Rattus norvegicus: one gene and its partners. The protein of the gene in region 6 purifies or fractionates together with the protein of the main gene of each other region. This does not show direct contact. Links are inferred from orthologs where the notes say so. Each region holds a gene or a part of one and is shown on either strand. Other genes may lie near its edges. The genes, in order: Ncbp1, Snrpd1, Snw1, Hnrnpf, Srpk1, U2af2 and Acin1.

Region 1 (3,500 bases), on a different chromosome or scaffold from region 6:
GGGTGGATGCAGTGAGAGGTCTCAAATGACTGAGGGGGAGTGGATACAAAGGAGCAGTCAGGGTTACTGTCCAGCGTCGACAGTGTAACTTGAAAAACAAGATTAGCTATGTGAAAAGGAAAGAAACATACCGTCCTTAGGCAGGAGAGTAGGAAGTAGTTCTCCTTACCTTCCGGTCACAGCTTGCACAGGCCACTGAGATGCTGTACATGCGTCTGGACACCATGAGTACCACGTGTGTTGACAGGTACGGCCATTGGTGACATCGTCGCAACTAAGGGCTATGTTAGCGCCTCAGGAATCTTCAGAATCTCATATTCAAAAATTATCAGTGAGAACTACCCCCGTCCATGACCTTGAAACATTTCAAATGATTGAAATCAGTTTGGAGAGAAGTGCTTTAAGAAAGTGTTTTCCAGTGTCTCTAATAGAGTACCAGTTCTGTAAACATTTGAGTACTCCAATGGTCTTCAGGGCATCATTTAACACACTAAGATGTTTCCTGTCCCGAGAGCTACGTGTGTTTAAGTGGGTATATAGGCTGTCCTGAAAAGGTCGTAGTGGGCTTGGAGAGCTCAGCAATTCAGGTTCTGCTCTTCAGAGGACCTGAGTTTGGTTCTCAGCAAGCACATCCTGAAGCTTTGCTCCAGTTCCAGAAGATTCAATACCCGTCTGACCTCTGGCACTGCTGGCACTGTGTACACAGATATGCAGTGTAAACACATAAATGAAGAAGTAGTTACACTCTTAAAAGGTCTTTGAGAGTCTAAGAGCTGGTGAAAAGGCTCAGTGGTTACAGCACTAGCTGCTCTCCCAGGAACCCATGCTTGATTCCCAGCAAAACACGAGAAGCTTACTCTGATTCTGCCATTTGTAAATTATTTGTAAACATTAACTACAATTTATTTTTTTAGCTATTTCCATGTCATAAACAGTTACATGAAAAACTAATATCCTCCTTCATAGCTGTGAGAATTACATAAATATTTTGCACAAAACATGCTTTACTCATGGCTGTTCACTAACAAGAATAAAAGGGAGCCCCATTGTGAGAGCTGAGGAATCTGGGGACATAGGACAGGGAGTCAGACTTTGTTGAGAAAACAAAAGACTACAGGTGGGGTGGGGTTCCCCGAGACAGTTGAGCTGTATTAAGATTTTATAAACTGCTGGTCTAAATTGCACTCTTTGTTTTCTCTTCTCCCTGCTCCACTCCCCAATGTAGGTTTATTAATTGGTTTTCTCATCATCTAAGTAATTTTCAATTCCGCTGGAGCTGGGAAGATTGGTAAGTGTAAGGTTTATCCTTCCTTATTGAAAACAGTTACTATTGGAGATTGCTCAGTCAGTAAAGTGCTTGTTACTCGAACATAAAGACCCAATTGAGCTCCAGAGCCCATGTTAAAAAAAACCCATGTTGAGCCCTTCTTGGTTGCACACACCTTTAATTACAGCACCCAGGAGACAGAGGCACACCCATCTCTAAGAGTTAGGAGCCAGCTACATAACAAGTTCCAGACCAGCTAGCACTGCTCAGTCAGACCCTGGGTTTAAAAAAAGCCAGCTGTGGAGATGTGGGCTTCTAATCCCAGCACCAGGGACATAGAGATTGACAGATCCCTGAAGCTCACTGGCCAGTCACCCTAACCTAATGGGTAAGTTCTGGGCCTAGCGAGAAACACTATCTCAAGTCAAAGTGGGTGCACTGGGGGAACAACGCCCAAGGTTATCCTCTGATCTCCCTGTACAGGTCACACTCATGTATGCAGCACATGAATACATACATACACAGGAAAACCTTAATATTTAAAACTAAAAAAAAAAATATATATATATATGAGTGCTCTGTCTGTTTGCCAGGAGAGAGCATCAGATCCCTTTATAAATGGTCATGAGCTACCATGTGGGTTCTGGGAATTGAACTCAGGACCTCTGGAAGTCAGCCAGTGCTCTTAACCACCAGCCTCTAAAACTCACTTTAAAACAGTTTGTTGTCTCAAGTATTTCTTGATATTTAGTTACTCTATGTGGATGAGGTAAAAGGTAGAGAAACCTCTAACCAGGAACTGAAGGTTATGCATGTTAACGTAATCCAGATTTCCTCCCTAGGTCAGATTGTCTTACTCAGGATCTTGAAAGTCCCAAACCAAAGTTTGTAAGAGAAGTTCTAGAGAAATGTATGAGGTAAGCTCTTTGCATTTTGTTCTCTTAGCTCTCTTAGCTTCTCATGAAGGAAACTGCTGGAACTGGTTATTATCTGACAGGATTTCTCTCTCCTTTGTTTTGTACTTACAATGTTTGTCCATCTTCCAACTCACTTTTAAATGAAGATTTAGGCTACAGTTAGTCTGCTGTACTATTTGGATTTTATGTTAATTAAGCCAATAAGATTCTTTTCAATGTCTCCCAACATTGATGAGCATTTTCTTATTTTCTAAACTTGGGTTTTTATCTAATCTGTGTTTTCTTAGCCCTCTCCGAGAGCCATCTATTTAAAGAGCCTTTAGTTTCTAGTTGATAGAGTATGTTTTGGGGAACTGTGATTTAAGCTCTTAATGTGTATTTTTTAGGGGTAGTTGAGGCCTTTGGGAAGATACCGTGTGCATGCTTGCACGGTATATCCCTCTTTTCACACCCAACATTGTAAATACTATGTAAATGCTCTGTTGGACAGGACAAAGCGTGCCTCTTTCTAGCTCCCACTTATTTCTTTGCCGTGTCACGACCAGCCTCCCAGCCGTGCCATCTGACCTCCACCCGACCCATTCTCACTTGCAGTCTTCCCTGAACGCACGCTGCAGAGTCAGTGTCTGAGCGGCCTGAGCTCACTCACCTATGCTAACTTTCTCAATGGTTGGAAGGACTTGGTCCCCATTTGCGTCTTGGTTGTTCTCTGTGGGATCTTAGATCTGGCTTCTGGGCAGGTTGAGTATTAGCAAAGCCTGAAACATGAGACTTTCTGAGACTCTTGTTTATGTTGTAGGTTGTCTTACCATCAGCATATATTAGATATCGTTCCTCCCACCTTCTCAGCTCTGTGTCCTGCAAACCCAACCTGCATTTACAAGTATGGAGACGAAAGTAGCAGTAAGTAACACTCTCTCCTTAGGAAGTACCGATGGACGCATTCGGGGAAGCTGGTTACCCATAGGAGGGAAGGTTGACGTTCTCAGAATCGTGTTTCTATATTTGAAAAACGACTCACATTAACCACTAGATTAAGGATTTTGTTGTTGTTGTTGTTAGCTTTAGGTTCCTTCTGTTTTATTCTGTTCACAGTGTTTTTCACATGACCTTTTTAATCCAGTACAAAGAGTAGTACTGTACAGAGGGGAATTCTTCCTGGAGTGTACTAAGACTGAAAGTGCGTTTGTTAAGATGGAGACTTGTTGAATTGGTTACCATCTTGTCCTAGTTAGCGTTGCCGTTGCTGTGATGGAGCGCCATGAACACAAGCTGAGGGAACTGTTTGATTGGTTTATACTTCATGTGTCCATTGA
Region 2 (4,116 bases), on a different chromosome or scaffold from region 6:
GAAACAAAAAGAACAACGCTCATTAAACAAACACAAGGAAGAAAACAACAAACAAAAAACCTTAAACAAAAACATTTCAGAAACAGTCTTCTCACCTGTGATTGTTCCATGGACTTGCGTTCCATTCTTCAATTCAATGGTTACGGTTTCATGACTCAATTTCATCAAAAATCTATAAAAAGAAATAAAGTCCTGATTTTTTACCTTAACATTTTAAGTCTTTTGATGAAGTCGGTAGAGTAAAAATGCTAGAGATCAAAATCTTTAAAATGCCACAACAGTTCATATGGGGTCTGGATAGCTAACCAGCAGTGCAGAGCACTCCCCTCTCTTGCAGAGGACCCAGTTTGAGTCCCAGAACTCACACGAAAGCTCACAAACATTTGTTATCTTTGCTCCCAGAGGATCTGGAGGCCTACGCTGACCTTAGGCACCAGGCAAATTTGTGATGCATACATGCAGATAAAACATTCACACATAAAATAAACATCTTAAAAATAATTCTTCATAATAAATACACAGTGCTTAACTTTTTCTGAACCAAACTCATAAACTTATAAAAGAATGAAGCAATAAACTTTCCTCTGGCATCTTTGGACGTTACTGGGTCCACCTGCAGCTCACAGGCTGCAGAGCACTCAAATAAGCTTTCACCCGAGTCTGTAAACTTGGGCTGTCCTGAGCTTCCGACTAGAGAATACTAGAAAGAGACTATTACAAAACAACCTTAAATGAAGATATCTCAAGATCCTGGAGTAGCACTGGGAGTGGTGGTGCATCCTTTAATTCCAGTGCTTGCTAGACAGACAAATGGGTCTCTGTGAATTGGAGGCCAGCCTGTTTTACATAGTGACAGTGAAATTGTCTCAACAAACAAAAGACCCTAGACTAATTTTCAGACACAAAAAGGAAATAGAATTCTAATTGATAGCATAAGATTACATGGTAGAAATAAAGAACTTCTCTTTTCCTGCATTTTGGTAAACAGGGATATTATTCTAACCCACAAGCATACATGTAAGATTCTACTTTACACAAAGTAGGCTATTCTTTAATGGCATCAATAGTACTTGGAGCTTATTTAGCAGTTTACACTGGGGATAATTCCCTAAAAATAAATATTCCAAGAGCTAGATAGTAATCTACTATATGGAAATGTCAACTACCCCACTGTGAATGATGTTTTCAACTTTCTGCCGTTACAAACCCATTTATGCAGGCCCTCACCAGTAACAATTAACAATCTCCCAATTTTCTATCTATGCAAAAAAAGAAAAAACGGTGGGGGAGGGGTGTTGGGAAGAAGCACAGCAAGCCGGTATATATGCACAGAGGGTGAACGCTTGCTGCTGCCAAGTCTGAGGATCCCAATAATGGAGAACCGACTCCTCCTACGGGTCCTTTCATCTTTGTGCACACAAACTTCCCCCATAAATAAATGCAACTCTTTTTTTTTGAGACAGGATTTCTCTGTGTAGCCTTGGCTATCCTGGAATTCATCAGGATGGACTTGAATTTACATAGATGCTCCGGCCTCTGCCTAATTTGTGGCACCCTCCACCCTGCACATAAATATAATCTCAAAACCCAAACTAAATCAAACCATGGTAGTGCATCATTTAATACAGCTCTAGGGAGGCGGAGGCAGGAGGATCTCTGTGAATTCAAGGCCAGCCTGGTCTACACAGTGAGCACCAAGCCAACCAAGGAGCACACTCGCGCACTCTCTCACCCCAAAACCAATCATTACCACTAACAAAATCAATTAATTGACTAAAATATTGAGCAGGGCCATCAAGTTGGCTCAGCAGGTAAAAAGTACTTGCTGTAAAGGCTGAGGACCTGAGTTTTAATCCCTGAGACCCTGGTGGAAGGCAAAAACAAATTACCAAAAATTGTCTTATAACATACCTGTGCACGAGCACACACAAATAGTAATTTACTTTCTAATGAGCAAAACCAAGAAAAATGTATGCTTGTAATCTAGCACTTGGGAAGCACTTTAAAGTGTCCAAAGGCATTCTGGTCAACTACAACAGGTCTTGACACAAGAAACTAAATATTTCTAAAAACTGGCTTAGATATTATATACCCTGCCCCAGACTTGGCCACAAGTCTGTAAGTTTGGAATTAATCAAACCAGCAAACAAGACTCTAGTTAGGCTCCACTTCCGACATAATCTATGCAATCAGGAGAAATTAACTTGTTACCTTTTGCCCCATCCAGAGACACTTTGTCTTTCCTGAGTCAGAAGCCTACATTAACGAGTTACATGCTTTGGTCGGTCAAAATTAAGGAGAACTTAATCTAAAACGTCTTGCAAATCGGCGTCGTTATTTGCAGATAAAACCATCCTACTTCTAAATCCTCGTCACTGCAAGTGCTCCGACTCGCCACGAAAACGGAGGGACCACTGCTCCGTTTAAGTCGCCGGATGAGAAGTGGACAGAGACGGCTTGGCCACTTCATTCCTGTAAGACCGGAGGGGGTTTGAACGCGCCGGTCCCTTGCCCAGGGTTCTGGGCGACGAGCAGGGCGCGGCGGGGCCCGGGCGCCGGAGGCCGTTAGCAGGCCGCGCGCACGCGGCTTTCCCGCCTCCCTGGGAGCACAGCGGCCCGGCCTCCTAAGCTGGCCCAAACTCTCTACCCGCCGCTCTCCCCCAGCCAGGTAACCCTCCTCACCTCACGAGCTTCATCCTAGCGGCGCAGTCTCCCTTCTAGTCCAACTGTCCACGGAATTCAGGCTCCAAAGACCCACAGACTAGGAGTATGAATGGCCGGAAGAGCGCGCGGAGACCTGCGGATGCGCGACGAGAACGCGGAAGCCGCGCTGCCTTCCGGCGACCGGGAGAGCGACAGCGGCTCCTAGCGACGGGAGGAGCGCTTTGCGCCTTCGGAGGGCGGAAGGGCTGGTGGACTACACCTGCAGGAGTCCGAGACCACTTATGAATTTATTAAAACCAGTTGTGAAGGCCTGGAACTTTCACACGTCAAAGGAGGAAAAGTTCTGAGAGAAGCCCTCCAAGATCCGAGCCTAATCCTTGGGATCCACATGTTGGAAGCAGGGAAATCAATCCTGCAAGTTGTCTTTCGTTGGCTAAGCTAAGCCAATCAGATCTTTGGACAGAGTTTTAAATAAACCTTTCATTTTATATATAGTAAGTCCTTCGACTTAAAAAAATCCAATTCCTTATTTGCAATAACCACACAGTTAAATTTAGTAACACAACATCTACAATTGATATAATTACAAATATAGTGCAAATAATTTCCACTATCACAAGAAGTTTGGATAATATTAATTTATTATCATTTGATTCTAAAACGTATTATTTTTGGTCCTCAGGAGAATGTTGTGTCTGAAAGCAAGGGAATACAACTGCTTACTGTGCTCTCCAATATCTAGAATACTGTTTTCATAGAATATGCTTTTGTCACAAAACGCCCCTGTTCCAATGTATGGGAACTGGTCCCACGGGTCAATGAGATCAAAGGAGGAGGCAGGGAAGCCCAGAATTGCAGTGTGCAGTTTATGGGTGACTTACAACAGATACATTGGCCTGGGCATCAGGAAAAGCACATAGGTCCTTGTGATTAGGGTTAGAAGGTATGTGGGGTATAAACAGGTGAAAGTTATTTCAGAGCTAGGCATGGTGGTGCAAGTTTGGGGCCAGCATGCATCACCAGATTTCACCCAACTAAGAGTATTTCTTGTCTATTTCAAGCTAATCAGAGTCAGGTACATCCTTAGGCCAAGGTCTTGTCATAAAGCTTCAGACAACTCTCTCGTGATTTGTCTATTTTATTCTGGGAAGCTGACCATGGTGACTCAGGGATAATTTTGATAGTTTCCACTCAAAATAATTTTAGTAATGTCAAGATAAATCTATAGTCCTTTATTTTATTTTATTCTTTAAATCTATAGTCCTCTATTGATATGCATGAACAATTAGATGCTTCTCTCCATTAAAACGTGCGCTTTATAAGGAAGGAGACCTTGTGCATATCACTCAATGCAGTAATGCCAATACTGAGCAACTGGTACTCTTACCCACAAATCCCCTTTCCACTTGGGGTCATCTTCCTTCTAACCCATCTCTTTCCCCCTCAGTAATA
Region 3 (3,547 bases), on a different chromosome or scaffold from region 6:
TAGCCCCTGCTGCCATTGGTGTACACACTTGCCAGTGTCCCTATAGATCTCAGGTAAACTGATGTGGGCTCACAGATGCACAAACACTCAGCAAACTGTAAAAGACCAACCTTCCGATCTGCAATGTATAGGGCTTCAGCCAGTTTGGCAAAATTTTCATTGATGTGGACAGTCTGAAGTCCTCTTCCATCAGCAGCCAGCCGTTTATCTAGTGGAATCGTATACCCCTGAAATGAAAGCCGAAGGCAGGTCAGCACAGTGGGGCTGCAGTTATCACAGAACATTACTAGCGCATGCCCGTTCTGAGAACACTCACATTTCTATCTCTTACACTCACGTCCTTTACACAACAGTAAAGGCTTTCGATGGAGGGTTCATGCTCTAGTCACCCTAGTTAACTGCATGAGGCTGCCACACATCTCCCTCTCACAGGAAGGTGGGGTAGAGCGCCAAGGGATGGTGGCAAATTCAGTCAGTAAATGGAAGAACTAAGACTGGATCACTAACATGATGATGCAAGAGCCCAAGTGTTTAAGCCTGCCGTCCAATAGTCAGACTACAGTAAAATTAGGTCCTAAGAATGCAGACAAACTGCTTGTACCCAGGGAGTATGCTGAACTTCTGTTGGAATCATATCTTTCAGGCCTGGCTTTATGTTTCCCGATTTCTAACTCATCTATCAAATGCTACCCTTAAATCCATTGTCTCCTAACGTGAAGCAGTGCTGGCTGGGCGTGCTGCTACGTGTCTGCAACCACAGTTGAGATTACAAGTTCAGGACCAGTCTGGCCCACACAGCAAGTTCCAGGCTACAGACTGAGACCTTGGCCCCAAAGCAAAAATATAAAGAACCATATGAAAAAGATCCATAGATAAATGAAGACCCACAGTGCTTCAGTGTCATCTCAACAGACCACAGTGTTGCATAGATATGAATCAACCCACATAAGATGGTTCAGAGCCTTTCCAGTGGAGCACGACTATGTAATTTCATATTTAATTCTTGGTCTAAAGTTTCCGCCTTCACCCATCAATATGACTCATGCAGTAGACTCCAATCCTATAAGAAACTAGAACTTGGAAATGTATCCCATAATTTATAGACCCTCACTAACTCCGGAAGCTCTGGCATCTGAGGTACATAAGATTTTTTGTTTGTTTGTTTTTTGAGTCTATGTATTTGGGTCTCTCTATACAATTCTGGCTGTCCTAAAACTCACTCTTAGACCAGACTGGCCACAAACCTATAGATATTGGCTTGCCTGCACCTCAAGTGTGCCACCAGGCCCTGCAACAGAAGGTTTTATTTTTAGGGCTTATTTTTTCAGACAAGATCTTGCTATGTAGTCCAGAGTAGCCTTCAACTTGTTATCCCCCTGCTTCGCTTCATGTGTGCAGGAGTCACAAGCATGAACACCACTCCTGACAATACCATGAACAGCAATGCTACACAGCAGAATAGCTAAAAAGAAACAAAGGAGTGAACCCCCCCTAACCACCTCCCTACCCCTGAAAACTCATGCTGTCCTTTCTCATGTGAACAATGAGATATTTTTTCTGGAAATAACTCTAACCTAGAAGTTTGACCTTCATGAAGAATTAATCTTCAACCAATAGGGTATTCTCTCTCATTCATATTCATATTCATTCTCTCTCTCCCTCTCCCTCTCTCTCTCTCTCTCTCTCTCTCTCTCTCTCTCTCTCTCCTCCTCCCTCTCTCTATCTCTCATCTATGTGCTTCTGATAGCTATGATATACCAGAGAGATTTACATGGTATTCAAGGGACTGGTATAGCAACACATCTAGTGTATTTTAAAGTGCCCTATGAAGCTGTCTCTCGTCTTTGGGGTACATCAGGTTCAGATGCTAAATGTGTGCTCGTCCACTAAGCTCTGCTCTCGGGAGTTGTAATTTCTTATTGTGAATGGTAAGCTAACTGAGGAGCTAAGGCTTCAAGAAATGTCCCCAGGCACTGGAAAAAATTTCCTGAACAAAACACCAATGGCTTATGCTCTAAGATCAAGAATCGACAAATGGGATCTCATAAAACTGCAAAGCTTCTGTAAGGCAAAGGACACTGTGGTTAGGATAAAACGGCAACCAACAGATTGGGAAAAGATCTTTACCAATCCTACAACAGATAGAGGCCTTATATCCAAAATATACAAAGAACTCAAGAAGTTAGACTGCAGGGAGACAAATAACCCTATTAAAAAATGGGGTTCAGAACTAAACAAAGAATTCACAGCTGAGGAATGCCAAATGGCTGAGAAACACCTAAAGAAATGTTCAACATCTTTAGTCATAAGGGAAATGCAAATCAAAACAACCCTGAGATTTCACCTCACACCAGCGAGAATGGCTAAGATCAAAAACTCAGGTGACAACAAATGCTGGCGAGGATGTGGAGAAAGAGGAACACTCCTCCATTGTTGGTGGGATTGCAGACTGGTACAACCATTCTGGAAATCAGTCTGGAGGTTCCTCAGAAAATTGGACATTGAACTACCTGAGGATCCAGCTATACCTCTCTTGGGCGTATACCCACAAGATTCCCCAACATATAAAAAAGACACGTGCTCTACTATGTTCATCGCAGCCTTATTTATAATAGCCAGAAGCTGGAAAGAACCCAGATGCCCTTCAACAGAGGAATGGATACAGAAAATGTGGTACATCTACACAATGGAATATTACTCAGCTATCAAAAACAATGCCTTTATGAAATTCATAGACAAATGGTTGGAACTGGAAAATATCATCCTGAGTGAGGTAACCCAATCACAGAAAAACACACATGGTATGCACTCATTGATAAGTGGCTATTAGCCCAAATGCTTGAATTACCCTAGATGCATAGAACACATGAAACTCAAGACGGATGATCAAAATGCTTCACTCCTTCTTTAAAAGGGGAACAAGAATACCCTTGGCAGGGAATAGAGAGGCAAAGATTAAAACAGAGACTGAAGGAACACCCATTCAGAGCCTGCCCCACATGTGGCCCATACATATACAGCCACCCAATTAGACAAGATGGATGAAGCAAAGAAGTGCAGACCGACAGGAGCCGGATGTAGATCGCTCCTGAGAGACACAGCCAGAATACAGCAAATACAGAGGCGAATACCAGCAGCATACCACTGAACTGAGAATAGAATCCCCGTTGAAGGAATCAGAGAAAGAACTGGAAGAGCTTGAAGGGGCTCGAGACCCCATATGTACAACAATGCCAAGCAACCAGAGCTTCCAGGGACTAAGCCACTACCTAAAGACTATACATGGACTGACCCTGGACTCTGACCCCATAGGTAGCAATGAATATCCTAGTAAGATCACCAGTGGAAGGGGAAGCCCTTGGTCCTGCTAAGACTGAACCCCCAGTGAACTAGACTGGTGGGGGGAGGGCGGCAATGGGGGGAGGATGGGGAGGGGAACACCCATAAAGAAGGGGAGGGATTAGGGGGATGTTGGCCCGGAAACCGGGAAAGGGAATAACATTCGAAATGTAAATAAGAAATACTCAAGTTAATAAAAAAAAAAAAA
Region 4 (4,209 bases), on a different chromosome or scaffold from region 6:
CAAATAAACTCCCCCAGGCAAACAAAATACTCCTCTACTGAGCCATAAATCCTCTGAGCCACTTTTAAATGATTCAACTGTGTGTCTAGTTGCTTAGGCTGACCATAATAATAAACTTAAGACCTTTTGCCTCACCACCTCCTGGTAGATGGAATTGCAGCCTTGTGTTGCCACAGGGACTCGTTCAAAATTCCTGACTCCTATATTCCTAGCGTCTCTTAACTCTAATGAAAACACTTACACTCCCTGCTACTCTATCACAATCTTAAGATTTATCTAACAACTGTAACCCAATTATGTCAATGCCCCACTTCTAAGCCCTATTTCCCATTGGTTATTAGAACAGAGACTGAACTAAAAGAATCCTTGGATCCTACAGACATTCTTAATCTATATCCATCATTCTTTTTTACTCCTTAGTTCCTTTAATTTCCCCACTGTTCCCTGGAGGATTTGACACATCAAATAATTCTCCACCCAAATATCCTCTGCCCAACCTTGTCCAGCTAAACCTTGATAATCCTCTGGGTTATCTAAGCGCAACTACCATTCCAATAACATCTTCTCACGTCCCACAATAAGTCTGACTTTCTACTTTCATAACAACCTTCTCTGTAGTTTTAAAAGGTCTTCAAAACTACACTGGGACCCTACTTAGGACAATTTTGTTGTCCAATACTTCATCCTTAGCAGAGGGAACAGACCACAGCAGGTCAAGGATTAGCTAGGGATTTACTGTCCACCTAGGGTCAACACCTTCCTTCAGAGTATAGCAGCTTAGTCAAAGCTAAAAACATGTAAGAAGCATAAGGAACAAGTACTTTATAAGCAGTTTCAGCAACAGGGGAAGAAAGCATTCTTTTCTGTAACATGTCAACCAACACCTACAGCTTGCTTTTACTCACCCCCCCAAGAAGTTCATAGTTCTTTAGTTTGACTTAACTGTAAACTCACCAAGCATTTAAAACTGACAGTTCTTCAAAGAAAACTAAACTTTGCTTAACAAATTAATCGTCTTACAGTTAAATGTATCTTTTAGTAGCTTACCTTAAAGAACCACCACAGATGCCTTCTGTAGGAAACACAGAATGGAAGATAACAAGTTTTCCTTAAAAAATAAAAACAAACACAAAACCCAAGATTGGTCTCGTGGCCTCAGATTCCATTCATCATCGTACAGAAGGGGACCTCCTGGGAGCTAGGCTCAGAGCAAGCTAAGTTTCTTTCTCAAATCCAGAAATACATTGTAGCCCTAGGACCAACATATTTAGGTTTCCTGGTTATTTATATTTCATCTTTTCATGGGTAGAGGACATCAGCAAACAACTTAGCAGAACTAATTTAAGCTTAGTTTAAATGTAGGAGAAACTTAAAATTTAAATAGAGCAGGGATCTAGTGGGCACTTTATGCCAAGACTTCCAACCCTTTCAGTAGCATAGGCATCCAGGCCAGCATGAATTTCCTCTGGAAATGAAAAAACACTCCTGTTATTTATCTTCTCCATGCTGGAGGTGGGGAAGGGTCTCCAATGCCTTTTGCTTTATCATAACCTATGTGACAAAGCTTCTCCCAAATGGTGAGGAAAGGGGTTGAATCCTATGACAAATTATGCTGCATTCTTCGTTTTGGAAATGTGGTAGGCTATTCTGCCTGTTGTCTTAAAATAGGGGTAACTGCAGTTGCATTGTCTCATTTTCCAAAATTATGCAAGATATTGGGGTGTCGGTGCTAAAAACCCATTTTGAAAATAGTTTCAAAGACCCTGAAACAGGGCTTCACTTTAATGAGTTTCAACCATATTCCTGTCCATGAAATTCTAATGACTCGATCCCCTTTTTCCAACCTTTTACTTCTAGTGTGGTAGACAATACCTGTGGGCCTCCCTGGAGACACTATACTGCATGCAGCTAGCAGCTAGACCTACATTAAGCCACTGGCACGAGACCCGTGAACATGTGAACTGTGGAGACATGCCCAGTAAAAGAGAAGATGGCATGGCGGGTCTTTGTAAGTACTGTTAGAACACCCAGACATTTGATTTTAATTGCAAGACACGCTACTGAAACCATTTGCATCATTTTGGGCGACTGACTCCTATACTATAGCCAGGCTAGGCCTACATTTCCACAAGTTAAACACTAAAGAAAATGCACTATTAAAATAAACAAACAGGCTGAGACTTTTTTCTAACAAGCTACCCAGTCAGTGATACTGGTTAAACTGGATTTTCACTGCCTTCAGGTAGATCCAGGTAAGATAAAAGAGGTGCGCCCTCTGAATCCTGGACTAGTTAAGTTTATCGGCTGAACAAACAGGGCGGCTCAAGCGCCACCCACCTAGTTCTTTTGTTCAGGCCCGCTTGGTGGGAGCCTTGCTGCACCCTCCTCTATGCATCTTTGTGTTCCAGGAAGTCGCCGGAGTTTTCATTGGGAGCCCGCCCTCATCCTCCCTCCATTTTGTAAATGAGTTTTAACCTCCGGAACGCCGGGAGCGCATCCAGGCAGGTTTTCTTACTCAGAAAGTTCTACTCTTAAGACCAGGAGAGCCGCGGCTTCAAAGCTGCTGCCTTTTTCTGCTCTGAAACTTACCACGGGAGGAAGGTAGAAGTGACTTCTATTTTCAATAACGAACGCGGCTTACGAACCCCAACTCCACCCGACGCCTTAAAAACGCAGAGGGCTCCGGGGAAAGTCCAGGTGCATCTTCTTTTTGTTCTCAACCTGAAATGGAAGTTCAAATGACCAGGGGAAACGCTTTTGCGGAAGCGGAGCCCCTTGAGACGAGCGTTTTGGCGGGAAGCAGGGCGGAGGGCAAGGTGACGCTGCTCCGCGGCCTTCGCCCGGTAGTCGACCGCGCCGCGCAGCGAGCGCCGGCCGGGCAGGAAGGTCCGCCCCGGGGCTTGCGCGGGCTCGGGCGGGAGCTTCCGGGCGGGGGCGGGGGGAAGGGAGGCTCCTGAGCCTCGGAGGGTGGGGGAGGGGAAGATCCAGAGGGCGGGGAAGAGGGCTGGAGTAAGAACTCGCGCAGGCCGAAGCGTGGAAAAGCTCGAAGAGGGAAACTTCTAAGGTGAGCAGGTCAAGTACGCAGCCGGTAACCTGGGGCTCGGGCGGGAAGCGGGGCTCACCACGCCGAGACGGGCGTTCGAGTCCGGAGTCCGGGAAGCAGCAGCCGCGTGATCTACAGCGGCAGTCGGACTCGGGTCACGGGGTGTAGAGGAGGAAGTGCCCTGCCGGGCCCGCCAATATGTCACCAATGAGAAAAGCGTGCCTGCAGGTGTGGCCCGCGAACGGTGGGTTTGGCCGGCGCCGGAAGTGGGGGAAGGAGGGAAAGGAAAGGGGAAGACTCCTCGCTGAGTTCTGGGTAAAGGAGCCACCTGAGCAAAGTACAGACTACCCGCTACAGTTGGAAAGGCGAATGCAACGAAGCGTTGACAGACTCAGCCAAGTAAAACCAAATCAACTCGGAGTACAGAATGGAAACCTGCAGACACTCTACACTTTTTTCATTTGCCCGCCGACTCCACGATAACCTAACTTTTAAAAACTCCCGACTCGACTTGGTGGCGGCACGCCTTTAATCCCATCATTTAGCCTTGTCTCAAATTTTTTTACATAAACTAATGACCGGTATGGTACATACATTTTTTTAATACCATCACTCTGGAGGCAGAGCCAAGCTGATTTCGAGACCTGCCGGGACTACTCGAGTTCCCTCAGAGCCCTAGAGGCTGACTAGGTTTGGATCCCTAGTATCGCCGTAGTGGAAGGAGTGCTTGACTTTTAAACCTAAGTTGGCCCATATGTATAAAAATGAACCTTATAGGGGCTGGAGAGATGGCTCAGCAGTTAAGAGCACTGAGTTCAATTCCCAGCAACCACGCGGTGGCTCACAACCATTTCTAACAGATTCTGGTGTATCTCAAGACAGCTACAATGTACTCATATACGTTAAATAAATATTTTAAAAAATGAACCTTATAAAATCTACACCCAACAGGCAACCACAAATCTTAATTCAAAGCAATTGGCCTCTGAAATAATCCAGTCACTTCTCATTTTTTTTTGAGGGCCCAGAAAAAATGGGGCAAGGCACTAGTCACCTAGCTTGTTTGACACCTGAGTGGAGAACCATCCACAGACCCACAGAAGAGAAAGGGCAAAAGTTGTTCTCTGACCTAAGCACCTGTAGAGAAAACCCCGGCAAGCACTACT
Region 5 (3,547 bases), on a different chromosome or scaffold from region 6:
TTCCCACTATGGTTTTGTCTTTTTATGAGAAAAGCTTTGCCTAATTTTGTGGTGTTTTTTGGTGTAATGTGGAGGCATTATTAAAAATCTTGAATGATTTTAGAATTTAAGATGGGCTAGAGAGATGGCTCAGAGGTTAAGGGCACTGACTGCTCTTCCAGAGGTCCTGAGTTCAATTCCCAGCAACCACATGGTGGCTCACAACCATCTGTAATGAGATCTGATGCCCTCTTCTGGTGTGTCTGAAGACAGCTACAGGGTACTCATCTATATCTAGATAGATAGATAGATAGACAGACAGACAGACAGACAGACAGATAATCTTTAAAAGACTCCTATAAGCAACATGGGAATAATATGACTTACAAAACTGAGTGAAGTTCCACTGTCAGTTATAGAATTCAAGACTTGGGCCTGTAGAGATGGCTTATAAGAACATGGCTGCCCTTCCAGAGAACCCCAGTTCAGTTCCCAGCACCCACATGACAGCAGCTCACAACTGTTTGTAACTCCAGTTCCAGGGGGTCTCATGCCTGCATACAGACATACGCAGGCAGAGCAACAGTGCACATGAAATAAAACAAACTATTTAAAAAAGCAAAGGAGTCAAGACTTAGTATAGAAATCATCCGGTAACATCAAGTTCAGGTGTCCCCACACAGGTGCAGAGAGCGCGTCCACCGTGCCTGTCAGTGTGCACGCTCTCCCTCCCTCCACTCACTCATTTGCTTCTGCGCTCTTTATCAGTAGTCATGTTTCAAGAACAGGAGCTACATGAAGATCTCCTCAGATCTTTATTTTAGCTTTATACTTGACTGTCAGTCTATAAAATGTATTGATCTGTAGCCCTGTAGCCTCCTGAGTCTAAAGGAGGGCTAAGCCTCTTTCCAGAGTGCTGGGAATATAGGACTCACCAAAGTGCTAAATGTTCTGTGAATGCGTCTCATTAAGTCCTTGGGCCCCTTTGAGAGCTGGGGCTGCTCAGCTTGGGGAGATTGCTTATTTAAGTCCTCTTAGTTGGAGGACTCTCCAGGCTGTCTGCTAGACTGGGCTCGCAGTGCTCCACCAGCTGCATTCTTTCTAGGTAGCTTTCTGCTTCTCCTCCTTAGAGTTGTCTCCCTAATATTCCAGCCACCCATCTCACAGGCTCCTCCTTCACTATTTCTATGCCACCCACTGCCTCCCAGGTCCTTTCTCTAGGAACTGCACTGCCTTGAATTATCCATCCATCCATCCATCCATCCATCATGTATACAGCATTCTGCCTGCATGTATGCCTGCAGGTCAGAAGAGGGTATCAGATCCCATTACATATGGTTGTGAGCCACCATGTGGTTGCTGAGAATTGAACTCAAAACCTCTGGAAAAGCAGTCAGTGCTCTTAATCTCTGAGCCATTTCTCCAGCCCTCATTAATTTTTAAAAATTTCACAGTTGTAGTCCTTGTTATTGAAACTGTAATATCTACTTTCCTGTGGAGCTCCCTATAGCTGTTAAAGCTGTCAACGCAGTGGCTTGAGGCAGTTGTTACAGGCACTTGGGGCTGGACAGGGAGAAGGCTTCATCCCAGCAGTTTGAAGCCAGCCCAGGCAGGCCAGTGAGGCTGGCAGCGAAAGGCAGCATGCTGTCTGACTTGGACCCCATATGTCAGGCAGCCAGCTTGAGGTGTCGGACCTCACTGCATGGAGAGCTATGTGCTCAGAGTGAAATTCAGAACTAGCTGACTGGAATGCCAGGGTCTGTAGTGTTCCACCTCAGGGAAGCTCAACTCTGGGGTGACTTGGCGGTGTAAAAGCAGGGGACAAAGTTGTTTCTGGAGTGTATAAAAATACTTAAAACTATCTTTAAAACTGCAAGGTGAAGAAAATGTAATGGCTTTCTCGGGATTATGCTTGGATGTTGATAGTCTTAGTTATTATAGACCACTAACTGCCGCTTTGTGAGGCTGCCTCTGGTGTTGGTGTGAGGGGCTGCTAATGACATTTCTTAAGCTCACTCTTTGTTTTCTGTGCATATGGAGTGAACATGTTATTGTTTCTTAGGCCTGAAACCCAGCACCGAGGCTCTGCACCCCACTCCGAGAGCGACATCCCCGAGCAGGAGGAGGAGATTCTGGGGTCTGATGATGATGAACAGGAAGACCCTAACGACTACTGTAAAGGTGTGTGCTTGCCTGTCCAGTGCGGTGATCAGTGCGTCCTGATGTGACCGCCTTGCTCTGTCCTTTGATCAAGATGCAGGAAATGGGGTTTTGCTCTTAGTTGGGTTATATTGCGTTTTTAAGCTTGTTGACCCTGCTAGGGCCTGACCAGAGCCTGGGGTTACATTCTTGCACTCAGCCCCTTTAAAATGTGTTTTCCAGGCTGGGCAGGGTGACACACCTTCAATCCTAGCACTCTCGAGGCAAGGGCAGGCAGATCTCTGAGTCGAGGCCATTCTGATCTGCAGAATGAATTTCAGGACAGCCAGAGCTATGAGACATGTAGAGATTCTGTAACTGACTAGCACTAATTTAAAAGGAAGGAAAGAAATCTTTTCCTCTTTGAAAATTGACAGGATATGCTTACCTACGAAAATTTCAGAGGTGTGGTGAACAGATAGATACCAGAGCTGGCTGTGTAAGCACAGTCTGTGTGTGCCGGGATAATAGGTGTGTGTCGCCACACTCAGCTCAGCTGGTATATAGATTTGTTTTTGTTTTTGTTGTTTGTTTTTTGTTTTTTAAGATTTATTTATGTTTGTATGTGAGTACACCGTTGTTGTCCTCAGACACCAGAAGAGGGCATCAAATCCCATTACAGATGGTTGTGAGCCACCATGTGGTTGCTGGGATTTGAACTCAGGACCTCTGGAAGAGCAGTCAGTGCTCTAACCACTGAGCCATCTCTCCAGCCCTGTTTTTTGTTTTTTTGGTTTTTTGTTTTTGTTTTTGTTTTTGTTTTTTGAGACAGGGTTTCTCTGTGTAACAGCCCTGGCTGTTGGTGTTTGTTTGGTTTTTAACTACTGTAATCCTCTCTGTCCAGGTGACAGCTGCTAAGATGTGTGTAACTGGGCCATCAGGCCTCAGTGGCCACCCTGCTGTGATAAGACTTGCCAGGGTCTTGAGGGCAGACCCTGGAGGATCTGCTTCACTGTCTAGGGGAGCTTGGACCTTTTCCCCCACAGGCATAGATAAATGCCGACATGTATTGTCTGGGACCTGAGGCGGACTTTCTGTTTGCTTTTTTCCCTTTTTCTTTCCTGGGGTGGTTGGGGATGGTTGTCACTGCGTGGCTGGCCAGGAACTCACTGTGCTGACCTACATTGAGAAGAAAGACCTTTCTATAATCATATTTGTTATTATTTCTCTCTGAATTTTTGAGATACCAAATGGAGATTGGTTGATTTTGATAGACATGTTGGGTTTTGAGAGGCCAGCAGTGTGGTAGCCCGTGACCACAGGTTGACGCAGAATATCACATACCTGGTGTGGATTCTCACCCATGCCGTCCTCACACCAAGCTGAGCGACACTGGGACTCGAGGCTCCCATTGAACTCCTCTTACCAG
Region 6 (3,977 bases):
TGTCAGAAGCTCATAAAGCAGATAAGGAAACTGAGGCACAGGGAGATCATGACTTGCTCAAAGCCCAACAGCTGGGCAACAGTGAAGCCAAGACTGAAATTGTAATGCCACTAAGTTAGGTACCAGGCTGTAGTCTCAAACGAAGACCAAGCAGAACACTCATTACAGAGTCTGGGTTCAACTACTAACAGCAAAGAATGTGCATGTACATGTAAAGAATAAAATAATCAAGAGCTAGACAGGGGCAAGAACTGTGGAATATTGAGACAAGCACAGCTCTGGCTCCACACCAGGAAGAGGGGCTACTTACAAATCCCAAATGTCTTCCCTCCCGCTAAGTCTCAAAAGCAAAAACAACAAACTCCAAAAATGACATGACAACACCAGGTGTCTAGGACACAAACTTCCTGTAAACTTAGGGAACTAAGAAGGGGGCTAAAGCTAAGAGATACAGTGAGTCTGGGTCAGAGACAAATACCCACAGGCAGGCAAGGTGACAAGATGGTCAAGCTTTCTTCCAGCAAGGCAAGAACCTTCTCCCACATACTGATGCTGGACCGTTAAAAGGAAACTTCATTTGCTCAAAATGCTATACTCTAGCTGTCTTATGCACATAGCTCCAATAATCGACCCTTATAGGCTGGGTCTCAGGCCCCGTTGCCAACATCAGAAGGGACACTCTAGAACTAGTATCACAGCCTCAAAAAACAGCTAAAGCAGCTCCACTTGAACCACCTGAACCACAAGGAACTGGCTTTGCAGTCAGAGCTCTACACAAAAGCAGGAACTTAGCTTTAACATCCAGTTTTTCTTTCTTTGAATGAAGGTCACATCTACATTACCAAGGTCTTATAGGAATAACATTTGGCATCCACTTTCCCCACCCTTCTACAACTCGACACCAGTCTAGTTAGGTATTTAGCATAATCCAAGCCACACAATCTATATACACTCTGCTCCATTTAAACTCAGCTCCAGCTTTCCACTGACTAATGCCTGGAGCTTTTTTTCTTAAGAGAAAAAACAAAAACTTTATAAGCCCTAGTTTACTGCTCAATAAACAGAAAGCTAGTATGTCCTCAGAAGGCTGTTACAAATGATTCACTTAAGACTGTTTAGAGCATGATGGTGGCTCAAGTCTCATGCAGAAGGCAGAGGCAGGAGAACCTCTGTTGAGTAGGACAAGTTCAAGGACTCAAGGACAGCTGGGGCTATACAGAGAAACCTTGTGGAAGGAAGGAAGGAAGGAAGGAAGGAAGGAAGGAAGGAAGGGAGGGAGGGAGGGAGGGAGGGAGGGAGGGAGATTTTAAGAGTTTAACAAATTTCCTTGCCCTGACACATGGTAAGGCCTGAGTTTAATCACAACTATAGTCAGTATGTACCACCATTACTAATTTCAAAAACCCAGTAAACAGAGCAGTGATGATCAGCATACACCTAACAAATTACCATACATAAAGATATTTGAACTCAGGTATATTCAATTTCTAAGGCCTATACTTTTAAACAGTACACTACTCAAAGCAGAAAAGCTCAACAAGGGCACTCAGAATAATTACTTTTTCCACATGTACTGTTTCAACTACTCTCTCAATTCCAGCTTCATTTCGAAGAATTCTGAAGGTCTCACCGAATGCCCCAACACAAGGCAGCTTAAGTCTCAATCCTTAAGAAATTTGAGCTCTTCAGTCTCAAAAAAGGAGGTTGTAGAGATGTCTTATATCTTATATATAACTCAACTCTTTCCTCGGGATTCCTAAATCCATCAGCACCAACATAGCCTGACTGCCTTTCTGATCCAAATTCATAGTACAGGATCTTACTTTAGGAGCACCTGCCTCTACTAACCTACTAATGGGCCAGCTCCCTACTTCCCATTTGCTTGACTATTTTATTATTATTTTATTATCCCTACAGTATGATTGGATTTAGGTGTCCGAGTTTGGAATGATACAGGACCTGGGCTTTGCCTAAAACCAAAAGGTTTAGGGAGTGTTAGGGATATGAAAAACAGATGTCGGCCGCCCAAACTCCAAGGCATATATGATTTATGCTCAGCAGGGGCACAAAGAACGCAGAGACTTCCCTCTTTGGCGGGCAAACAGGTGTAGGACACATTTTTATCTAAGACGCCACAAAACCGGAGGCTGAGACAGAAACATCGAGACAGGAGAGTTCTGGAGAAATCGAAAAGTATGAACAGGCTCGAAACCTACAAGCACCTAGTGATTGCAGCGCCAGTCCACGTGAAGGAGGGGGGGGGAGAGAGTGTGCTTCACCACCGCCATTTTGGAAACAAAGGGGGCGTGGAGAAAGGAAAAGTACGCCCGACCGGAAGCGGAAGTGCGAAGGCAGCAAAAGAAAAAGAATTGAGACCTAAATTCATGTCTTTCTCAAGTAAAAGACAAAAATTTAAAACAACAACAAAAAAGATGCACAAAGAGGAATGCGGCGCGCCCTCAATGCGCCTACTTGACAAAACGCGCCGCCTCCACCGAGACCACGTGGGCGCGGGATATTGCGGCGCGCACGCGCCGTGAGCCTCGCCCGCCACCCCTTCCCTCAGCGCCAAGGGGAGGTCACGTGAGCTAGGCGCGCGCGGCACGGGGGGGGGGGTAAATCGTGCGGCCCTAGGGAAGGGAACAAGAGAAATGGCAGGGGGGGCGCACAGGGCGAAGCAAGAAGCCACCCCACAACCCCAGCGCCCTCACCTTGTTTATTCTCGTTGAGCTGCCGCTCGAACTCGTCGAAGTCCGACATGCTTAGGCGGCCGCGTAGGGCCCTGTGCAGCTCTCGCCTCGCCTTGCCGCCCGCCCGCTCCGGCTACTTCCGCCGCTGGCTTCGGCTACTTCCGGCCCCCGCCGGCACTCCGTCGCCTACCTAAGCAAGCCCCAAGCCCCGCCCCGTCCCGACTCCACCCCCTCGTCCCGCCCGCCCCACCCCCCCTCGAACTTCCCCGAGCTCAGATCCGAAGCCTGTCGGCTATTCTCGGAGAGAGAAGTCTGCAGACGACGGTCGCCCTCGAAATCACCCGAAGCGAGGATTTTTGCCGGCTGCCCAAGTTGCGGTAACTTTTCGGAGACTAGCGTTTCAACGTTCGGAGGATTCCGTGGGTCCTCGCGTTCCCCTACACCAGCCTCCTCTAAAGATACGGGTTTTCCTACAACTCAAACCGTCTCAGTCTCTGGCCGCCTCTGGAAATTAGTCCCACCCCTCGCCGACCCTGTTCAAGCGGTCAGTCACTTCCAACAATCCTAACCGTCCAGGCCTTCGGCTCTTCCGAAGGTTTCCAGCGCTCGCTCACCGCCCCTCTAGAGATTAAACCCGATTGTAATCTTCGGCTCTTTCCGGAGGTTCGACAGGGTCACTCCGCCCCTTCCGGAGAATATCGTTCCCTTCCGCCACTGCTTCAGGAAGGCCTCCAGCACGGAGGGGGGGAAATTCGGCTTTTTCCGCTGTTGTTTCGGCTCCTTTCGGCTTAAAGAACCGAAAAGGGAGGGAGGACAGATGAGAGGTGGGCCAGATGGCTATAGTGGACGGGGCGGAGTCTCAGCTTTGGCACTTAGCTCTCTAGAAAACTGAAAAAACTGACCTCGCGGAAGGCCAGAGAAGGTGTACGGGACAATAGCAGCCAGTTGAACAAAGGGTGTTCGAGGACGCGGCGGAGGTTGTTAGCGCAGCTTGGGACTCCTGCGCACAGTGATTTGAGAGGGGTTTCTGCGCCTGCGTAGCGGTCAGAGGCACGTTTTTCTCCGCTCTCGGGAGGATCCGCCATTCTAAATCCACATTGCGCGTGCGCACGATCTCCTCCAACATACCTCTACCCCCACCCCCAACCTTAGCCCCGTAGACACTAACTTCAAGACGGTTTAACCAGCCTGCCCTCTCCCGGTTGCCATGGCAATCGCGTTAAATCGTCCGCCCCTGCTCCTGCTGCGCAACCGCAGAACGTGCCACCTACGAGAAATCTAACCCCG
Region 7 (4,080 bases), on a different chromosome or scaffold from region 6:
AAGAGGCAAGAACCTTCTGTTCAAAGTACAAGCAACTGGTCCCAACCTAAATGCTGATTTTCCCACAGTTCCCCACTGTGTGTGTGTGTGGGACGTAGGGGGTGGTCATGAGACAAGAACCTACTGTACAGTGTATGAACCACCTCTGAAACCTGTAAAAAATGTTTATGTTCTATGACCCCCTTATTAAATTCTCTACCACACTAGTAAATTTTGGAGCAGGCTAGGTAAAGTTCTTGTCTCAAGGTAAGGTAAGGGTTAGAAAATCAGAAGCCACTTTATTAAAGTTCTGAAGAAAGTCCTTTTGCTTCTTTCTTGACTTAGGTAACCTAAAAAGTGTGATACGGATGCACACGTGTCTCTCAACAGTTTTCCTTAAAGCTTTATGCCTACAAGTACCACTCATTTTGCATCATGGATGCAAGTGTCAGCCAACTTATTCCAAAATACTTTAGTCCTACAGTTTGTATCTCCAACAAGGAAAACCTTCAACTCTCTAGGACCTAAATTTCTACCTGTTCTTACTTCTCCGAGTTGGAAAATTTGTATCCATGAAGAAAAGAATACCTAAACGTCAGTTCTAAGTCCCGGTTCAGGGTGACTGCCAGTTTCAAAGTGGCCCTACAGGGAGAAGTTTCTCCTAAAACTTCTCTTTTTCAGAGAAAGGGAATTATTTACCCAGGCTTTTTTACATTTACATGGCTTCCACTGTAAACTTAAATTCGATGTCATTAATAAATTTGCTGTCTGAGATCAAAGACACAATGCTACTTTTTCCCACGTTTGGAAGCAGCAGGTCTCTTATTCCTTAGCCACACAGGACAAAGCATTTCTTAGACCGAGTGGCTGGGATATAGAGGATGGGGACCACAGAGATTTCGCCAGGAAGCAGAAGGGTTCCCCAAAAGAAAACATTCAGACACCAAGTCTTATCCGGCCTAGGAGAAATTTCTTTTCCTCTTACCTCCCTTTTCCCCTTGGAGGGCGCCCAGAGATCACAAGAGTGCTTCAGCTCCTGCTCCAATTCCCCGAGTCTCTTCCATGTTTCCGGAAAACCCTAAGTACAGCCAGCCCCAGTAACCCACGCACTTCCGGTCCGGAACCAGCCCCAAGTACCCAAGTGCCCCAGCGCCTCAGCCCTCAAGTCCGGAGATAGCCGAATATCTCCGATTATGGGTATGCCAGATTCGAGGGCTTCCGAATAGATTCGATTCAAAGCCTCGGCAAGACGAAAACAAACGAACCTGAAAGTAAAATGGGAGGAGCCGGCCGCTAGGCAGATGGAAAAAGCCGATTGGTACCGATGTGGAGACGGAAACGACCGAACAGTTCCGGAGGAACCCGGGGAATTCTGAGCGGTAATAGAGGGGTAGACTATGGCAGTGGGCGGGGCCAGTTCGGTACGTTCGAAGGGCGTTGGCGGAAATTACCGAAGATGCCCGAAGCCGTCGGGACGGACCCGAGTACCTCACGCAAGATGGCGGAGCTGGAGGAGGTGACTCTGGACGGGAAGCCTCTTCAGGCTCTGCGGGTGACCGACCTGAAGGCCGCACTGGAGCAGCGAGGCCTAGCCAAGAGCGGGCAGAAGAGTGCCCTGGTCAAGCGGCTCAAAGGGGTGAGAAGTCAGCGTTGCCGAGGTGTCGGAGGGGAGCGGACCTGGTAGAGACGAGTCTCCGCTGCGGCGCAGGCGCAGTGTCCGGGCTCGGCGCGAGCTCTCTCAGGCCGCCAGCGCGAGCCTGCAGATCCACGCGCACGGTGGTTGGTGTGGCTGGCGCTGGAATAGAGATAACGCCGGTTCCCGCCTTAACGGCAGCAGCGCGAGCCCAAAATGGGAGGGTGCGCGCTACTCTCCCGGAGTGTCTTAAGCTCCTTCCTTCTTCCCCCACCCCCTCCTTGTTTGTGTCTGTGTTTTCGGCGCATGCGCTGCAGAAGGAGTTAAATCCCTCTACAACCACCGGTGTGGCTGGCCTTAAGGGGGCGAGCAGGGCTGTGTCCGAGTTAGGGATACAGTTGGGCGGATGGGGTTGGTGTCTGTGTCTGCAGTAGTACATTTTGGATAGGGTAAAAAATGTCCGCTTGACTAGATTAAAACCTTAGATGAAGGAAAACCTTGATAGAAGGACTTGTCAGAGACGGGTGTCTAATTTATAGGGAATCGAGAAACAGTCTGGATAAGAATTTGGTGAATATTGGTGCGAGAGGTGAGACAGATTACTTTAGGCTGGGGATTTTGTATCGGTTTGAGCAGTGAGAATGAGCTTGTTGTCGTGAGGTATACATACTGTGTATTGGTTTGGTGTAAATGGAGGGAAGGAAGGTGAGAAGGACTAGTGTAATTTGAGTTCATTAGGGTACGTGGCTCATAATACTGATAGGGACTCGGTCAGTTCAGGCTTTGAGTTGACAGACCGTTGCTTATCCCGAAGCTGACAGTTTGTGGGTGGGTGTGGATTAGGTCAGACCACAGGTTACAAGGTCTGTGGTTAGTTTCTCGGTGAAGTTTTTAGTACATTTGATTTGTCTGGGTGTCAACACTGATGGAAATTGTGCAGGTTCATTTAAGTAGTTTTAGTTCTGAAAATCAAATAATAGTCAAATCTAAATTAGCAGCCTAGTGTTGGTTTCATGTAATTTGAAACTTGTTTGAGTACTTGTAATTTTTTTTGCCTGTATTACCAGATTTAAAAGTGGCTCCTAGTCAAAATTACAGACAATAACAGGGGTTCTAGTTCTGATTCTGCCACTTTTGCTGATTTTTTTGTGACATAGCCAGGTCACTGATTCTTTGTGTGCCTGTATTTTACATCCGTATACTTGGGAGCAGTAACCATGGCTACCTTTAAGCGACTTATGAAGATGAATGAGAACAATATTAATAAAGCGCTTTTAGGCTCTGTGAAAGGAATGTAGTATAAATGTATATTTAAGTAATTTAGTGAAAAGGCTGTGGGAGAGGTAGAGATCTGGAGTGCTTTTTTGTTCCCCCTCCTGGTTTCTGATTTTTGCTCTTCTTTATACCAGGCTCTAATGCTAGAAAATTTACAAAAACACTCAACACCCCATGCTGCATTCCAGCCAAATTCTCAGGTAAGAAAAAAGGTTTGTTTAGATAGAATGGGCTATTTGGAGAAAATGGTAAATGGGAAGACTTGGTGTCTTCCATGTTTATCAGAAACAGAATTTTCTTGTTTTTTTATTGCAAGTGATCTCAGTTACTGGGTTTTTGTTTTGTTTGTTTTTGTTTTGTTTTTTTAAGGTCTGTTTTTATTTTATGTGTGTGGGTGATTTGCCTCCAACGGGTGCCCACAGAGGCCAGGAGAGAATGTCAGATCCTCTGCAACTGGAGTTACAGACAGCTGTGAGCCACCATGTGGGTGCTGAATCGAACCTGGGTCCTCTATAAACGCAGCCAGTGTCTTAACCATTGAGCTATCTCTCCAGCCCTCAGACAGTTGAATTCTAATCACCCTCAATTTTGCATAAAGACCTGGAGTTTTAAAAAAAAGAAAAGAAAAAAATATATATATATAAATAAAATCAAAGGAGCACTGAATGAATTTTGAATTCTTGGAGTGTGTCAAAAGTATCACTCTGGGGGTTGGGGATTTAGCTCAGTGGTAGAGCGCTTGCCTAGGAAGCGCAAGGCCCTGGGTTCGGTCCCCAGCTCCGAAAAAAAGAACCAAAAAAAAAAAAAAAGTATCACTCTGATTAAGTGTGCCACAAGAATCTGAAGTCACTTGCCATCAGCTTAGGGGAAAGTTATCTTTGAATATAGATCTTTGAATATAGATGTAACAAAATACTTTTTCATCAAGAACTCTTTTATTGGTACAAATTTACTTTAAAGAATTTGATACTGTATTAATAAACCCTTATTTCTAGGACTAACTCTTAAACATCCTTAAAACCTTGATGACTTAGGACAAGGTACTTAACACTTAGAGACCTTTGTTTCTTTACCCGAAATAGGAAAAGTAGTTTGACTTAGTTCATGGTTTTATAACTGCTCTGCTGGGGTGTCTTAGGGGAAAAAACTTTGTTCTAAGAGTTCCTGCATAAACGTTTTTGTGGTTGTTGTTG

Evidence for each region.
Region 1: the proteins of U2af2 (region 6) and Ncbp1 purify together in Homo sapiens (affinity purification with mass spectrometry; 3 studies listed by BioGRID and IntAct, with this or other methods). This does not show direct contact. The link is inferred for Rattus norvegicus from reciprocal best matches to the Homo sapiens genes U2AF2 and NCBP1.
Region 2: the proteins of U2af2 (region 6) and Snrpd1 fractionate together in Homo sapiens (co-fractionation; 3 studies listed by BioGRID, with this or other methods). This does not show direct contact. The link is inferred for Rattus norvegicus from reciprocal best matches to the Homo sapiens genes U2AF2 and SNRPD1.
Region 3: the proteins of U2af2 (region 6) and Snw1 purify together in Homo sapiens (affinity purification with mass spectrometry; 4 studies listed by BioGRID and IntAct, with this or other methods). This does not show direct contact. The link is inferred for Rattus norvegicus from reciprocal best matches to the Homo sapiens genes U2AF2 and SNW1.
Region 4: the proteins of U2af2 (region 6) and Hnrnpf fractionate together in Homo sapiens (co-fractionation; 3 studies listed by BioGRID, with this or other methods). This does not show direct contact. The link is inferred for Rattus norvegicus from reciprocal best matches to the Homo sapiens genes U2AF2 and HNRNPF.
Region 5: the proteins of U2af2 (region 6) and Srpk1 purify together in Homo sapiens (affinity purification with mass spectrometry; 3 studies listed by BioGRID and IntAct, counting the BioPlex papers as one, with this or other methods). This does not show direct contact. The link is inferred for Rattus norvegicus from reciprocal best matches to the Homo sapiens genes U2AF2 and SRPK1.
Region 7: the proteins of U2af2 (region 6) and Acin1 purify together in Homo sapiens (affinity purification with mass spectrometry; 3 studies listed by BioGRID and IntAct, counting the BioPlex papers as one, with this or other methods). This does not show direct contact. The link is inferred for Rattus norvegicus from reciprocal best matches to the Homo sapiens genes U2AF2 and ACIN1.

What each region holds. Positions count from the first base shown.
Region 1 is NC_086023.1:65,232,132-65,235,631, forward strand, and holds part of Ncbp1 (nuclear cap-binding protein subunit 1), read left to right. Parts: exon of another isoform or gene 1-182; coding exon 183-247; exon of another isoform or gene 248-338; coding exon of another isoform or gene 339-355; intron 356-1,225; coding exon 1,226-1,288; intron 1,289-2,109; coding exon 2,110-2,184; intron 2,185-2,983; coding exon 2,984-3,087; intron 3,088-3,500. UniProt on the Homo sapiens protein: Component of the cap-binding complex (CBC), which binds cotranscriptionally to the 5'-cap of pre-mRNAs and is involved in various processes such as pre-mRNA splicing, translation regulation, nonsense-mediated mRNA decay, RNA-mediated gene silencing (RNAi) by microRNAs (miRNAs) and mRNA export.
Region 2 is NC_086036.1:1,968,371-1,972,486, reverse strand, and holds the start of Snrpd1 (small nuclear ribonucleoprotein Sm D1), read right to left. Parts: upstream 2,814-4,116; 5' UTR 2,697-2,813; coding exon 2,683-2,696; intron 173-2,682; coding exon 96-172; intron 1-95. UniProt on the Homo sapiens protein: Plays a role in pre-mRNA splicing as a core component of the spliceosomal U1, U2, U4 and U5 small nuclear ribonucleoproteins (snRNPs), the building blocks of the spliceosome.
Region 3 is NC_086024.1:112,833,426-112,836,972, forward strand, and holds part of Snw1 (SNW domain-containing protein 1), read right to left. Parts: intron 228-3,547; coding exon 111-227; intron 1-110. UniProt on the Homo sapiens protein: Involved in pre-mRNA splicing as component of the spliceosome. As a component of the minor spliceosome, involved in the splicing of U12-type introns in pre-mRNAs.
Region 4 is NC_086022.1:152,767,363-152,771,571, reverse strand, and holds the start of Hnrnpf (heterogeneous nuclear ribonucleoprotein F), read right to left. Parts: upstream 2,844-4,209; 5' UTR 2,590-2,843; intron 1,109-2,589; 5' UTR 1,048-1,108; exon of another isoform or gene 1-1,047.
Region 5 is NC_086038.1:6,670,321-6,673,867, reverse strand, and holds part of Srpk1 (SRSF protein kinase 1), read left to right. Parts: intron 1-2,041; coding exon 2,042-2,160; intron 2,161-3,547. UniProt on the Homo sapiens protein: Serine/arginine-rich protein-specific kinase which specifically phosphorylates its substrates at serine residues located in regions rich in arginine/serine dipeptides, known as RS domains and is involved in the phosphorylation of SR splicing factors and the regulation of splicing.
Region 6 is NC_086019.1:77,804,455-77,808,431, forward strand, and holds the start of U2af2 (U2 small nuclear RNA auxiliary factor 2), read right to left. Parts: upstream 2,838-3,977; 5' UTR 2,761-2,837; coding exon 2,712-2,760; intron 1-2,711. UniProt on the Homo sapiens protein: Plays a role in pre-mRNA splicing and 3'-end processing. By recruiting PRPF19 and the PRP19C/Prp19 complex/NTC/Nineteen complex to the RNA polymerase II C-terminal domain (CTD), and thereby pre-mRNA, may couple transcription to splicing.
Region 7 is NC_086033.1:32,114,191-32,118,270, reverse strand, and holds the start of Acin1 (apoptotic chromatin condensation inducer in the nucleus), read left to right. Parts: upstream 1-1,266; 5' UTR 1,267-1,303; coding exon 1,304-1,615; intron 1,616-1,656; coding exon of another isoform or gene 1,657-2,051; intron 2,052-2,062; exon of another isoform or gene 2,063-2,201; intron 2,202-3,021; coding exon 3,022-3,087; intron 3,088-4,080. Other genes in the region: C15h14orf119 (uncharacterized protein C14orf119 homolog), read right to left, coding at 1,657-2,051.